2 linked regions of the Oreochromis niloticus genome follow. The protein of the gene in region 2 purifies or fractionates together with the protein of the main gene of each other region. This does not show direct contact. Links are inferred from orthologs where the notes say so. Each region holds a gene or a part of one and is shown on either strand. Other genes may lie near its edges.

The links.
Region 1: the proteins of cebpb (region 2) and smarcc1a purify together in Homo sapiens (affinity purification with western blotting; 3 studies listed by BioGRID, with this or other methods). This does not show direct contact. The link is inferred for Oreochromis niloticus from reciprocal best matches to the Homo sapiens genes CEBPB and SMARCC1.

Annotation. Positions count from the first base shown.
Region 1 is NC_031976.2:31,814,535-31,822,189, reverse strand, and holds the start of smarcc1a (SWI/SNF complex subunit SMARCC1), read left to right. Parts: upstream 1-4,563; 5' UTR 4,564-4,641; coding exon 4,642-4,827; intron 4,828-7,063; coding exon 7,064-7,183; intron 7,184-7,280; coding exon 7,281-7,366; intron 7,367-7,655. Other genes in the region: fucolectin-1, read right to left, coding at 833-987, 1,335-1,620, 2,292-2,355. UniProt on the Homo sapiens protein: Involved in transcriptional activation and repression of select genes by chromatin remodeling (alteration of DNA-nucleosome topology).
Region 2 is NC_031984.2:10,008,668-10,014,772, forward strand, and holds cebpb (CCAAT/enhancer-binding protein beta), read left to right. Parts: upstream 1-4,017; 5' UTR 4,018-4,198; coding exon 4,199-5,080; 3' UTR 5,081-5,587; downstream 5,588-6,105. UniProt on the Homo sapiens protein: Important transcription factor regulating the expression of genes involved in immune and inflammatory responses. Also plays a significant role in adipogenesis, as well as in the gluconeogenic pathway, liver regeneration, and hematopoiesis.

The DNA of each region.
Region 1 (7,655 bases), on a different chromosome or scaffold from region 2:
ACTTTATTGCTAGAGCCACGCCACTTCTCCAATAACTGGACAGTAGTGAAAATATATGCTCTGACTTCTGATAATATTCCCTAATGGAATAATTTTTCTGTGAGCGAAAAACTTGTTGTTTACGTGACCAGATTAGGATTTGTCAGATAACTATAATTTTCAACACATTTCTCTTCATGTCAGTGTTGTATTCTAGAAATGAGAAGTTACTTTTGTAAAATGTTTTGATCAGAGTTACCAAATGCAGTAACGTCCAACAACATACGAGTACAGAGATGAGTCCGCTCCCAGAGACAATAAAGAGATCATTAGTAACCTTTGCTAGTCCTGTTTCTATGCTTTTGAATTATGAATCCTATTTTTTCTTTTTAGGCTGGACAAGAAAGTTGGATCAAGTAAAGGCTTCTGAATTAATGATTTAAATACTTCCACCTTAAAAGCCTTTAGCTTCTTAAAAAAAGATGAACTGATCATATTTAAAATCAAAGTATTGATTAATGATAAAGAGTTCTTTATAGGAATGTGGGCTAACAGATGTATTGATAGTGTCACTGAAGGCCTTACTGAAGTTAGTTCATAGAAATCAATAGGAAATAGTGCTGTCAGCGTTAATCTCGTTTATACAATACAATAGTATTTCTTTTTTTTGTTTTAATTTAAATTAAAAAAATTCATGAAGCAAACTCTTTGTCATCATGGTTACAGTGATGAACAGTAATGATAATAAATATCTATTATTAAACTGCTTTAATATCAGCTTGAAAGTTTGGATACCAGAGTTTGGCGATAGAGCTGCATACCGTGCAGCTCATGTAGTAGTTCACATTCTCACCAGTTGGAGCGTGATATCCGTAGACTTCCACTTCACAGAGTGCGAGGATCCTTTGTGAACCAGGAAGACTCAAAGTTACATAACGCCCCTCCACACGACCAGCGAAATTCACAGTGTAGGATTTGCCTGCACCAACTTCTGAAATTTTTCCAACCCTAACAAAAAGTGTGTGAGAAAATACAAGTTACCATGGCAGCAAATATCAGAACATTTGATAGTCAGCGTGATCATTTTCAATTAGTGGAATTTGCTGACAAAATTTACAAAAACTGTAACCTGATATTCTCTATTTTAATATATAATAGGATGATTTAATATAGGAATCTATTATAGGGAGTGCCAATAAAAAGAATATGGGCAGCTAACAATGTCAGTCCTACAGCAACCTCTCCTGTTGCCGTTCAGGAAAAACAGAAAGAAACAAACACTGCAAAGGTAAAAATGAGTAAAATGCCAAATCACAACATTGTTGCTAATTCCTTATTGCTCTATATTTACTAACTTTGGGTTTATTAAGCCATCATTATTCAAAGAGTTGCCTATGTGGATCTCCAGCCCATTGAGCCTTTCATGACAGCAGTCTCCTCTGTTGGTGATGGTGAGGGAAGTGACAATGTAGGGCTCGAGCAAGTCCACTCTCCACCAGGGGTCGGTCTGTTGATTGGTGTGCGAACATGATCCATGGCGAAGGTCAGAATCACGGTTTCCATCAATTGCAGCGTAGGCAGCCGACAATACCTCATTGATACGGGTTGACTGGGTTGCTTTGCCACGCAGGGCCACATTTTCTGGAAATAGCAGAATGCAAATGAAAGATATCATGGAAGGACATGCATTCAAGCAAGCAGCTGAAAATGAGCAGCCATTCAAATGTACCTCATTTAGTCACTTCCTCATGTAGTTAGCTTGATAACTCTGTTTACAGTAATACAGTGACTGTAGTATATGAACATATTTGGATAGGCATATTTGGTAGAGCTGCACAATTATCAGCAAACACAACTGGTTAGTTTGCTTAGTCAGCAAAGACTACCTATGATTCAAAATGATTACATAAGATGCTGAATTTGGTGAGCCAAAAGAATGGTTCGAAAGAATGTTCTTACTGTAGAAACTGAAAAACTGACTCCTTAATGTGTTTTTTGGAAGGTTTTTTTTGACATCCACATCTCACGTAAGACAATGATGTTGCTTAAATGTCTCATTTAATAATTTGCATACTTGTGGTAAAGGAAAAATGTTTTTTCTTACTTACATGAAACATTCAGCTCTAAACTCTAGAAACTGCAGTGACTGCAAATAACTAAGCATATTATACTTTGTTAAGTTTCTGTTACTTCACTCTCTATCTCTACCTGGTGATAAACACGTTGCCTCTTATTATTACACTTCTTTTTTTTTACACATAACTACTTTTCCTTACAAAAAAAGAGTCCATATACATCCAGATCATACTTACGATAGGTGCGTGCTGAGGACATCCCCAGGAGAAGGAGCAAAACCAGTGCTGAAATGTGTTTCATTGTTCCTACTGTTCACACTGAGAAAATAGAAACTTACATATTTTTTAAAGCCTAAACTAAACTTAAACAAAAATAAAACGCATTTATTTAAAGTAAAAACAAAGAGTGACCCTCTTAACCCCCTTAGAGGATATTATACGTCTTTAAATGAAAACTACATACCTTATAATCAGACGCAGATGAGGAGCTGCTGTTAAGGATTGTTACTTATATTCACATCCAACCAGGGCACATGAGCTTTGTTTTTCAATAAGCCACCGAGGACTTTGTCCTTTTCCTTATAGAGATAAGGCTCATTTCAGCTACCAAACAAGATAGGGTATTGGCAGTTCCTGATGTTTTGGAAAAATGCATTGGTAAATGTATCTCTAAGGTTTATGGTACCATGCGTACTAAAACGTAAAAAGGAAAAATGATGTAAAAATAGAAAAAGTGGCAAGATTAATAAAAACAAGAACAAAACATTTCACAAAGACTTTAGAAAAAGTAAAATGGGTTTCATATACTCAAGCCTATCTCAAGTGGGTTAAATCGTAAAGTCAATCTGACCCCAACCTTAGTAATAAACTGACTCGCTTCTGGTATATTCAGTTTTCAACAAATATAAGCAAAATATGAAAATTTATGCTGAATATGCCACACTATTGCACTATTGTAATTTATTCTCATTTATAGGGCCGTGCTAATATTCTTGAAGCAAAAAAAGAGCTCCTGTTCCACTCCCTGTGCTTCGTGTACAGCTTTTTCTGTTGAATATAAAGGATTTTGCTCACTAATCTACCAGATATTTATCAGCTGGGGTTTGAAATTCCTAGTACTGGTATCATAAAGTGCCGTTATCAGCTCAGCTTGGATTTAAACAGTACACCCCTTTTACTGGGCACATGCCACATTTTTTATCTCTTGTGCTTGATTAAACTTGTGATGGGTTTTAACAAACTACTTTTTTTTTTAAATTAGTGGATTTAATTAGACTAACAGAAAGAGAGAAATGTAGAATGTAGTGCAATTTTACTGTTCAACCAAAAACAAATAAAGTAAATCAATAAAAAATAAAATAACCATTTCACCACTTTTTGGAAACACTTTCTTAACTTTTAGATGATATGTTAATGTACTTTATTTACAAGAAGTAAACCTATGTGAAGACAGCTTTATTCTCTTATTCTTGAACAGACATAGATAGATAGTTGCTGAAATCTACATGTTATTGAGGTTTTATTTACATCACGGTGTAGTCATGTAAACTTGCTCCACCTCCTGGCTCTGTACAGACACAGGCACAAACTAAGCTGAAAAGAGTCTTGTATTACCTGACAAAAAGTAATCTCTCTTGTTTGTGCAAGAGGTTAAATCTGACCAAAGCTGGTAGGCAAAAAAAGTGTCACCACAAGATGGCGCCATCCTGACTGCTGCTCGCAAACAGTCAAGTTTGTCTGTCAAATTACATGAAAATAGTTCATTTATACTGCACCAGTATAGACAATAGCTTTGAAAAGTAAGAGTGCTAATTTAGTACATATAACCCCCCCTCCAAAAAAGTAAGACTGAACTCTCATATAAGTCTCATATTATGTTTGAGTAGTTAAAGCAGGGAAAAAAATCTGTAAGCAACACCAAAAAAATTATGTGAATTAGTTTACATACAACTTTCTGTTTTGTTACTATAATGTGGCTACTTGGATCTTGCTGGCAAAAACACATTCACTGGATTATAAAAGTTCATACGAAGATTCAAATCTATATGTTGCAGGAAAAAGTATCAAACCACATGAGAACAACGGACAAGAGTAATATAATAATAATGATGATAATCAAATGAATGAATAAATTTTAGACTTTAATCTTAGATTTTTTTAAACAGTTTTTTTTCCTCTTAGTTTTGTGAATTTATAACCATAAAGAGTACAAGATTTTTCTTTAAAAATGTACTATTTTAATTTACGTTTTTTGAAATTTTTGACTTGAATTTTGGAAATTGATATTTTGTACTCCGCCAAATAACTTATAATGGCTATTATTAAGTTATTATATCAACCCGGTCCCCCCTTTTTTTTATTTTACATACCATGGCCCCAATACGCCGTCTTACTTTTAACACAAACTACCTAAAAAAAAACAGGAATAACCTTCTCAGGTGCCTACATATCCCATGGACCATCTGATATTCAGGCTCGCGAGACTTCAAAATGCTCAACACGTTTGCGGCTGCGCAATGTCATTCGAAAACTTGCACGCTGAGGGACGCCGTGGAGGAGAAAGACAACGCAGCGAACAAAACACACAATGGCGACGGCGGCGACAACGGCAGGCGGAACGGGCTCGGGCGGACCGACCACTGGCCCCGTCGGTGGTTTAACCGCAGTGGGACGAAAGAAAGATGGTGGTCCGTCTGCGAAATTTTGGGAAAGTTCAGACACGATATCCCAGCTGGAGACTGTGCGACTCTGGATCGGAAAGCACTACAAGAAGGTAAGCTAGCTGCCCGCTCCTCCATTGATTTCTATGAAGGCCCGCGTCTCGCTAGCACAAAGGGGCGCTCATGTTTTAGTTAGCTGCAGCCACCCAGAGCTAAGTAGAGTTAAGTTTTAAGAGTGCTTCTATATAATTTTGTTTGGGAGTTCACCGTCAGTATACTGCCCATTGTCCTAGACCGATAGAGTTATCAGTTCTTGTTTATCAAATAGCTATAGTTAGCTCGCTAACTGCCCATTCAATGTTGCTACTAATATGACGCTCAGGGGGGAAATGTTTACAAACGAGCGACACATAGCCGCGTATAATTTTTTAACCCGTATGTAATAACTTTCTCATTAAAAAGAAATAATAATAAACCAAACTTTCTTATTAGTTTTTCAAAAGGCCCGAGATGCTAACCTGTATGTAAGTCACGGGACATACCATGCAGAACTTATAATATTAGCTAAATAAACCCCAGCCTCCTTTTTATGCCATCTTAAAAGGTACTTTACTTAGAAGATAATTATCTACTTCACTGCGTGCTGTTTGCAGGCCCAGTCCTGTTCCATGCTGTCAGTGTGTTTAGTTTTGTCAACACAGCAGCATAGCACACCGTGCAGGTTGCACTTGCCTACTGAATTAGCCAAACAAAGAATGCTCCTCTTGTCACATCAGGCTCTCATTCAAAACCACTGACACGTTGTGCCCGCTCAAGTTATAGCAGAAACATTATTCAAATGAAATGGCATAGATAAGGGCTTGTGAGTACAGCGTTTACACGCAGATGTATATTACAATATTTAATATATAAACTTGGCTTTTTTTAAGCATATGCACTGTTCAATAAATTTGCCTTTAAGAATAATAAATACATCCTTTTGTTGTTTTTTGTTGTTGTTGTTGTTGTTTTTGCAAAGATATTTATGTGAGTTATTTGAGGCCATATAGCAGTGGAAGGTCTTCCAGCTTTAAATGTACTTTGTTGCTGTTGACTGTGATCTTTCTGGTCAGTGTTTAGTTGTTGTGTTGCATTAATTTTGCATAGACTAAATCTAAAATAAGCCATTGAAACCTTGTGTCATTATTTGGTGATGCAATAGTATATAAATGGGATTCACTAACATTGTCTCTTGGATTACATTGATTTTGCACTGGCTAAACCTTAAAGGATAAAGTCATGACTTGATTTTTAAATTTTTTTGGTCAAGATTGATTCTCTGGAGCAAAAAGATCAGGAAATAAATACCATCCAACTATCCCTCTTGTCCTGCTGGAAACAGGACTTGGATTTCAGGGACGGCAGTCTAAGCAGAAACCTGTTCCCATGCAAGGCAAAAGATATAACAAGTTTAAACAAAAATCATTAGTCTGTTGACTCTCTAGAGCTGCAACTAACAATTATTTTGATAGTCGACTAATCTGCCTAATTATTTCAGTAACTCTTATCTCTGCTTCCTGTAGCCAAACCTCCTGTTCTAGGCTGTAGTACCTCATCTGCTCAAGTCTGCCCACCTGTGAATATCACCCTGTTGTTTTGTCCCCCAGCAAATTAAAATAATGATCCAAGAAACGTTTGAATTTCAAAATAATCAAATGTTTTTTAACATTACTCAATAGTTTTTATATGATTTGGTTCATGAATTCACGATTGGACATGCTCTGGAGAGAGGCTTGCTCTTATCTTTGTGATGATGTTCCCAGCTGCTGATAACCATGCTAATGATGCTCTCCGTCATGACTTAAGCCATCTGAGATGTGCATGAGCCTCTTTACAGGACTAACTTATCTATACCCCACTGCTTAATAATAGTATAGCAAAACAAAACAGAATTGGAGCTCTAGTAAACAACTCTCGTGGCTGCTCATATCATGGTAACAGACTTCTTTTTATTATTTTCTTTTATTACTTAACACATCACAGTAACATAACTTGTGTCGTGTTGTGTTGTATGCAATGTCGTTGTGGGACAGTTTTCCAATTTCATTGTACTATGTATGACTGTGCAATGACAATAAAGAGTTATCTTATTATCAAATGAAGAAGCCCATTCTCAGACTTTTGAGCATTTCTTTGGAATTAATTCATTTAAAAAAAAAAAAATCTAAACCCTTGTAGGTTGTATTTTTCTGTCTTTTGGCCACCTTGATTTGCTTAAAAAAAAAAAAAAAAAAAAGACTGCTAGATGAGATGGGAATCTGTGCCATTGCTATCATGTTACTGATAACTTTTTTCTGTGCCTACTTCCAGTACGTCCAGAATGACTCCCCCTCCAGTAAATCCCTGGCAGGTCTCGTGGTCCAGCTGCTGCATTTCCAGGAAGACGCATTTGGGCGAAGAGTCAACAATCCTGCTCTTACAAAGCTACCTGTAAGCATACAAACATTACATTCTACGAAAATCACCATCACAGTTTAATCCCAAATGGTAAAATGTTCTGTTCTTATGGTTCCTCTCATATCTTCAGGCCAAGTGTTTCCTGGATTTCAAGGCAGGAGGTGCTCTCTGTCACATTCTGGGATCTGTCTACAAGTTTAAGAGTGAGCAAGGCTGGTAAGTTAACTTATGTAACTTAATATGAGCAGATGGGTCTGACATTGATCATTAACTTAAACCCTCCTTTTGAAGTCATTGGTCTTAGAAATATAATTTGAACTATCTCAGTTGTGCATTTTGAAGATAAGCAAAAATCTTAATGGTCTTGTATTTTAGGATGTTGGTTTATGGAGTTAAAAACAAAAAAAAAAAACATTTGCATCAGTTGATGCAAATGGTGTGTAAAAGCCAATACACATAATTTAAGTTATATTTCAGTGTATACTTGGTGATTCTACTACCTTGA
Region 2 (6,105 bases):
TTAGTTGGGTAAATCTCATTTAGGAGAGGAAGTGAAACATATTTCTCTGTAACACCTGAACTTCCTCAGAATATAATTCCTTCTTACTGGGTTATGATACATTTCGTCTAATAAAATATTTCTGATAACTTTGTTTGTACACCTACTATGACAAAAGTCAATTATTGTCAGTCTGGGAGAAGTCCTAGAGTACACAATGTCTTCTTTAATCATTGATCTCAGAGGGACCTAGATGGCTCTTGTCAATGTTTTATAGCTCTTAGCAGTGCATCCTAACTTGAACTTTTCTCGGTACACCTCAGGCTGTAATAGATTACCTTTCCAATCCATAAAATGAGCTACATCCGTACACAGATATCGTACCAAGTCTAATGCATCTGGTGTTCCACGCAGGTGTGTTGTGTGGACAAAAAATATGGCTATAGATTCATTTCCAGTAGAGAATGACCTGCTGATAGAAATCTGTTTGACCCCTTTTTCCAAAAATCACACTGGGAATAATGATCAAAAGTAGTGTCTGTTCAGAATCAAGGCTCTAAACCATCTCAGTTTGAAGTACTATTCGTAATATAAAAAACAATGGCATTAGCCCCAACATCTTTATAATTTTTAACCATATCACTTACTAATGTTACATTTATGCCTCCAATGGTGTAGCGGTTAACACGTTTGCTTAGCAAGAAAATTTGGCTGGCTCAATTAAAGCCAGAAACAGCCATCCATTTTGGAGTGTGTGTCCATAAGCACATCTGTTGTAATAAATAAATAAATAAATAAGCATTAAAAACCTATGCCAAATCAAACACATGGTGCTATGTGGCAACAGAGTAGCTGAAAGCTGCTTTTGTTGTTTTGCTATGTCCCTTTGCAGCAATCAGTTTAAAATGAATATTTTGAACTGGTTTATATTTCTTATACCAACACAAATATTCCTATTTTCTGTTCCTATCTCATCCGTATAAATCCATAACATTTCATTTCCTTTTAAATGTGTATTACATCTTGACTGCAGGGGGGACTCATGCAGAGCCAGTATCTCACATTTATTTATATTCAGCTAGAGACCTGAGGCTTTGGGGAAGTGGTTGATCACATGGAAGGTAAAAGGGAGTTAATGAGTTCATTTTTCAGAAAGAGGGTTGTGTCATCTCACTTTTTTGACACATCGTGAAATTTTAAACCAAAACCTTCATGACTCAGTTGGTTTTAACAGGACATAAAAACTTCACACCTATAGAACTTTTTATGTATCAGTTAGTGGTTTTAGATCCACAGAATAAGATAAATTCAACTGGGGTTTCTCAAGGGTCTGTCCTCGGTCCCTTACTCCTTAACCTTTACATGGTTCTGCTTGTTACTATCATAAAGAATCATAATATATCCTGCCATTCCTACACAGATGATGTACATTTGTACTCAGCATTTTCCTCTGATGATCTTACCTGCACTGATGACATTAACTGCTGGATGCCTCCAAACCTTTTAGAACAGAAACAACACAGAGACAGAAAAATGTGATCATATTTGTCATCCCTTTCTCTGAAATACAGTGTGAAAAACAGGAATTTTACCATTTTGGACAGTGTTCTCAGTTTTGATGATCATGTTGATATTCTATTATCATATCATGCACTGTAGATCTATGTGTGTTTGTTTTTTATCTTGGATGTTAGGCACTCTGAGAAATCTGACCTTTTGTAATCTGTTTTTTCATCACACTTAAGCCTTCACTGCAACTATGTGTAATCATAGACAGCATCTCGGCAAACATAATCAACAAAAGTGTTAAGCTGCTAAATCCTTCAGGTATTCCTCTGTTGACCCCAAATCTTGAGCAAGTGCCACGTCACTGCTGAAAACAGGAACAGGTGTTACAGTTACATCTGTCACCTGTGATGCTTCAGCTGCGTATGAGGTTGCCAGTATATGCTCAGGTAAGGTGTCTTAACGGTTCATTGGTTATTTAAAAAATAATGTGACACATTATAAGATTTAAAATAACATGTGACAGGTAATCCCTCTGATCCCCAAAGAGGAAAAATTCAAACCTAGAGATGTTTGTGTGGGAAATCCCAGTAGATCAGTAGTTTCTGAAATATTCAGACCAGCCACATTTAAAGTCATTTTAAAACACCTTTCTTCCACATTCTGATGCTCAGTTTGAACTTCAATAGGTCATCTCGACCATGTCTACATGCATAAATACACTGACTGATTAGATGTGTGCGTTAACGAGCGGTTGAACAGGTGTACCTAATAAAGTGGTCAGTAAGTGTGTATTCTGCTACAAATATGTCAGTGTATGCACAAACAGTCACTGGGAGCCAAAAGCTCATACTTCAGACAGTTCTTCTTAGTCTTGATGACGTCGGTACCAGGGGAAATCCTTATATGGTCTTCTCAACCTCACCCCTGATATTCAAATATTTACCAGGAACAGCCAATCAGAAGAAAGTTGGATTAAGTCGAGCGAGAAGGAAGCTAAACAGCTTGTTTCAGACAGTGGGCGAAGGGAGACTTCTCTAGTAGCAGTCCAAACATGAAAATACAAAGCTTGGAATTAGTATAACAGGTTCCCTTTAATCTGAAAAAGAGACATAAATGAGATTTTTACGGTAAATGCGCCCAGTTTCCGCCATGTGATTGGCGGATTAAATATTTGTCCTAGCTGTAGAAGAAGTGTACCTAATAATGTGGGGAAACGGTGATAGATAGGTTTTTAAAAAGAGGCAGCCAAAGTGTTTCACAAATTAGTAACCACTCAGCTATGGGTGTGTGTAAAAGTCTGTCCTTTTACATAAATCTTATTTTAGTAAACTTGAAACAAGTGGATAGTTCTTTTGAATGTAAAAAAATTTTCACAGTGTGTTTATACTCAGAGAGAAAATGTGTATACGTTATTATTCAGTGATTTAACAGCTCCGGCCTACTTGAGATCAGATTGGATGTTGGCCAGGAACTCAAAACCTCGGTTTTGAGTCAGTTATAATGACTCTTGTCACCAGAAGGTGGCAGTAAGACTTAATCCATAACTATGTCTCTTAACTTTGCTGCTTTTGTGTACTGTTCACACAGCATCTCGGGTTTCTTACAAGTCGATCCCCCCACCACCCCAACACACACACCACCACCACCACCACCATCTCCGGTTCTCCATCATAGGACCTTTTTTGGGAATTCTTTCCTTATCGGAATTGCATGTCTAAGAAAACAGAGAGTGCTGACTGTAAATCCAATTCAGAGGCCACGTGTGACTGGTAACACTGGGATGTTGGGCTTTATTCTAGATTGTATGTTCTGGGAGAAGTGACATATTTGCACAGTGAGCCTGGGTTCAGCCGTGGACCCACTGGACTGTCATAAACCAAACTCACTAAATTTCTCATTACACCCACCTTGACCCTGATACAGTGCTGGAAGAGATGTATCATCTTGTAGGGGTCTACCACAGAACAGCATACTGGTTTAATCTAGTCAGCTCAAAGGAAACAGCTGTCAGGGGCTGCGCTTATGAGTATCGTTGTTATGAGACGATTACGCACGAAGTTAGAAAATGGTAAACATGCCGAGTGGAATTTTTCCATTATTGTCGAGTTGATGAGATCTGACTGTAGAGGGCGTGAAGGGACCCGATGTCAAAACACTCAAAGAATTCCTAACGTATGGTTTTGTTTCGTTATTGCGCTCTTGGTTAGGTACTCACCGTTGTGCGTTTATATTTTCACTTTTATTTTGCTTTTTAAGTTAAGTTTCGTTTGTTTTAAAATCATACAAATGATTGCATTTCCTATCTTGACACTCCTGCTGTAGCCAAGTGCCACAATACCACCAAACAAACAGGGAAGGGGGAGAAAGAGAGAAAAAACCGCTTAAGTGCTTAAGTTCACTTTTTATTGTGTTCAAACGCAGTTCAGTGTGCCAAAGATCCTCGAAAAACAGCACAGGTTGTCCACTTGCCTTGCACGTCACATACCTGAACTCCGCCCCTTGCTAGAAAAAATAAAACCCCCCGAGACAGGAAGAACCTGTCAATTCCTCTCACTCCATGAGCACAAGTTCTTCAAAGTAGTTTACTGCATGTTGTCACGGGAGCTATAGACTCACCACATTCAGACGCATTTCACAGCTCAACCCAAACCACTCAGGGCGTCTCACCTCAGCCCTCCATGCTTCTGCAATCCGGCGGGTGTTAAGATCCATGGAAGTGGCCGGCTTCTACGAGGAGGGCAGCTTTGCTATCCACAGTAGAGACAGCGTTATCAGCCCCATCGGCGGCGGCTCATATTGGAGGCTCGGTGACTCGATGACGGAGCTGGGCATTGAAGAGCGGGAGAGAGCGATAGACTTCAGTGTTTACCTGGACTCAGCTTTGCACTACCCGCAGCTGGCGGCGCAGACGCAGCAGCAGCAGGGGGACGTTTTCTCAGATTTCTTGGCAGAGAACAAGAGAAGAGTTGCAGCTTTGCAGAACTACAAGAACTACTCGCTACTGAACGAGCTGGAGACGAGCCAGTGCGACAACCTGAGGGACCCCAGGGAGCCCTACGCGCTAGGTTACCCGGAGCTGCAGGAAACCCGCGTGGATAGCGTGCTGAGCCCTGAACTCGGGAGCCGCTACAGAGCTGCTGCTGCTGCTGTTGCCGCCGACAGAGAAGACAGTCAGGAAGACGCAAAGATGGAGAACGGCTCGTCTGCTTTTGACATGAGGTCCTACATTCATTACCAGTCCACTAGTGGTAGTCTCGGAAACATCTCCACTGCGTCCTCGACTTGTTCCAGCCCGCCCGGCACACCTGCCCCGTCAGGTAAAAGCAGATCACCATCGCACAGTGGCAAAATGTCCAGCGGGAAGTCAAAGAAACGCCTGGACAAGGACAGTGAAGAGTACAGGCTGAGGCGGGAGAGGAACAACCTCGCCGTGAGGAAGAGCAGGGACAAAGCCAAAATGCGCAACTTGGAGACTCAACACAAAGTGCTGGAACTGGCCGCAGAGAACGATCGTTTACAAAAGCGAGTGGAGCAGCTGTCCAGAGAGCTGGCCACCCTGCGCAACCTGCTCTCTGCCACCGGACAGTGTTAAAACACACACACACACATTCACACACCGGAGACTCTGCACGGATCTCCGTGCTGTTGTCTGATCATCGGTGGACTTTAGAGCCGAAAGGGAATCCACTGTGCTGAAAACGGTACGCTTCACAGGTGAAGACGGCGACCACCAGTTTACAAGGACACTTTGAATGGGACTGAAGGAGTGGGTGCATGTATTGCGCAATCATTCACGACTCTTCACATGTCACCTTAGCTTTATTCTCAGATGTGATTTTTTTTTTTTCTTTTTGTGTGTGTGTATGCAGTATTTCTGTGCAGGTTTTACATACATGCGAGTGAATTTCTACATTTTTTGTGTGTATCTGGAGCAGTGGTTGTCAAGGGAAGAGTTGTGCTGCAGTGAAATGATGCAACTCTTTGTAATAGTATTGGCAATGAATGAAATAAGTCTAATTATTTAATATTGAAAGGTGAAATGCTTTAATTGTACTTGATATTTTATTGAATTAAACAGATTTATACTTTGTTTAAACAATTTCACTTGTAAATCTCCTTTTTTTGTCCCTTTGAGGCAGGTGAAGGCTCAGACAGACAGAAAGGGGCGTTTGCTTGTCTAATGCTCACACTCATCATAGACTGACTGTGTAATACCACATATTTCTCTTACAACATATTGCAGATAAGAAACTGGCTCAGCGGCAAAGCATATTCCTAATCTTTTAATTGAGGCCTGCGTACTGAAATACACCCCAAAAGAAACACGGAGCAGGAATTTGACGTTTCTTCTTGGAGATGGAGGACATTTAAAAAAAAACAAAAGAAAGAAACATTACATTATATTTCAAGTATTTGCTCATGTGGTGTATTCATGAAGCAGAAAATGGCACCCAGTGGTTTGATCAGAAGGTAAATAGAGAAAAATTGACAAATAAAATAGAAAGATGATTTTTATTCCTGAAAATTAAGAAAAAAAAATGCTCTTTGGGTAAATCTGAAAGCTGTAGCACTTCTGTTTACTTAATGATTGGAAGAAAAGTTCTCATATCCTGAAAT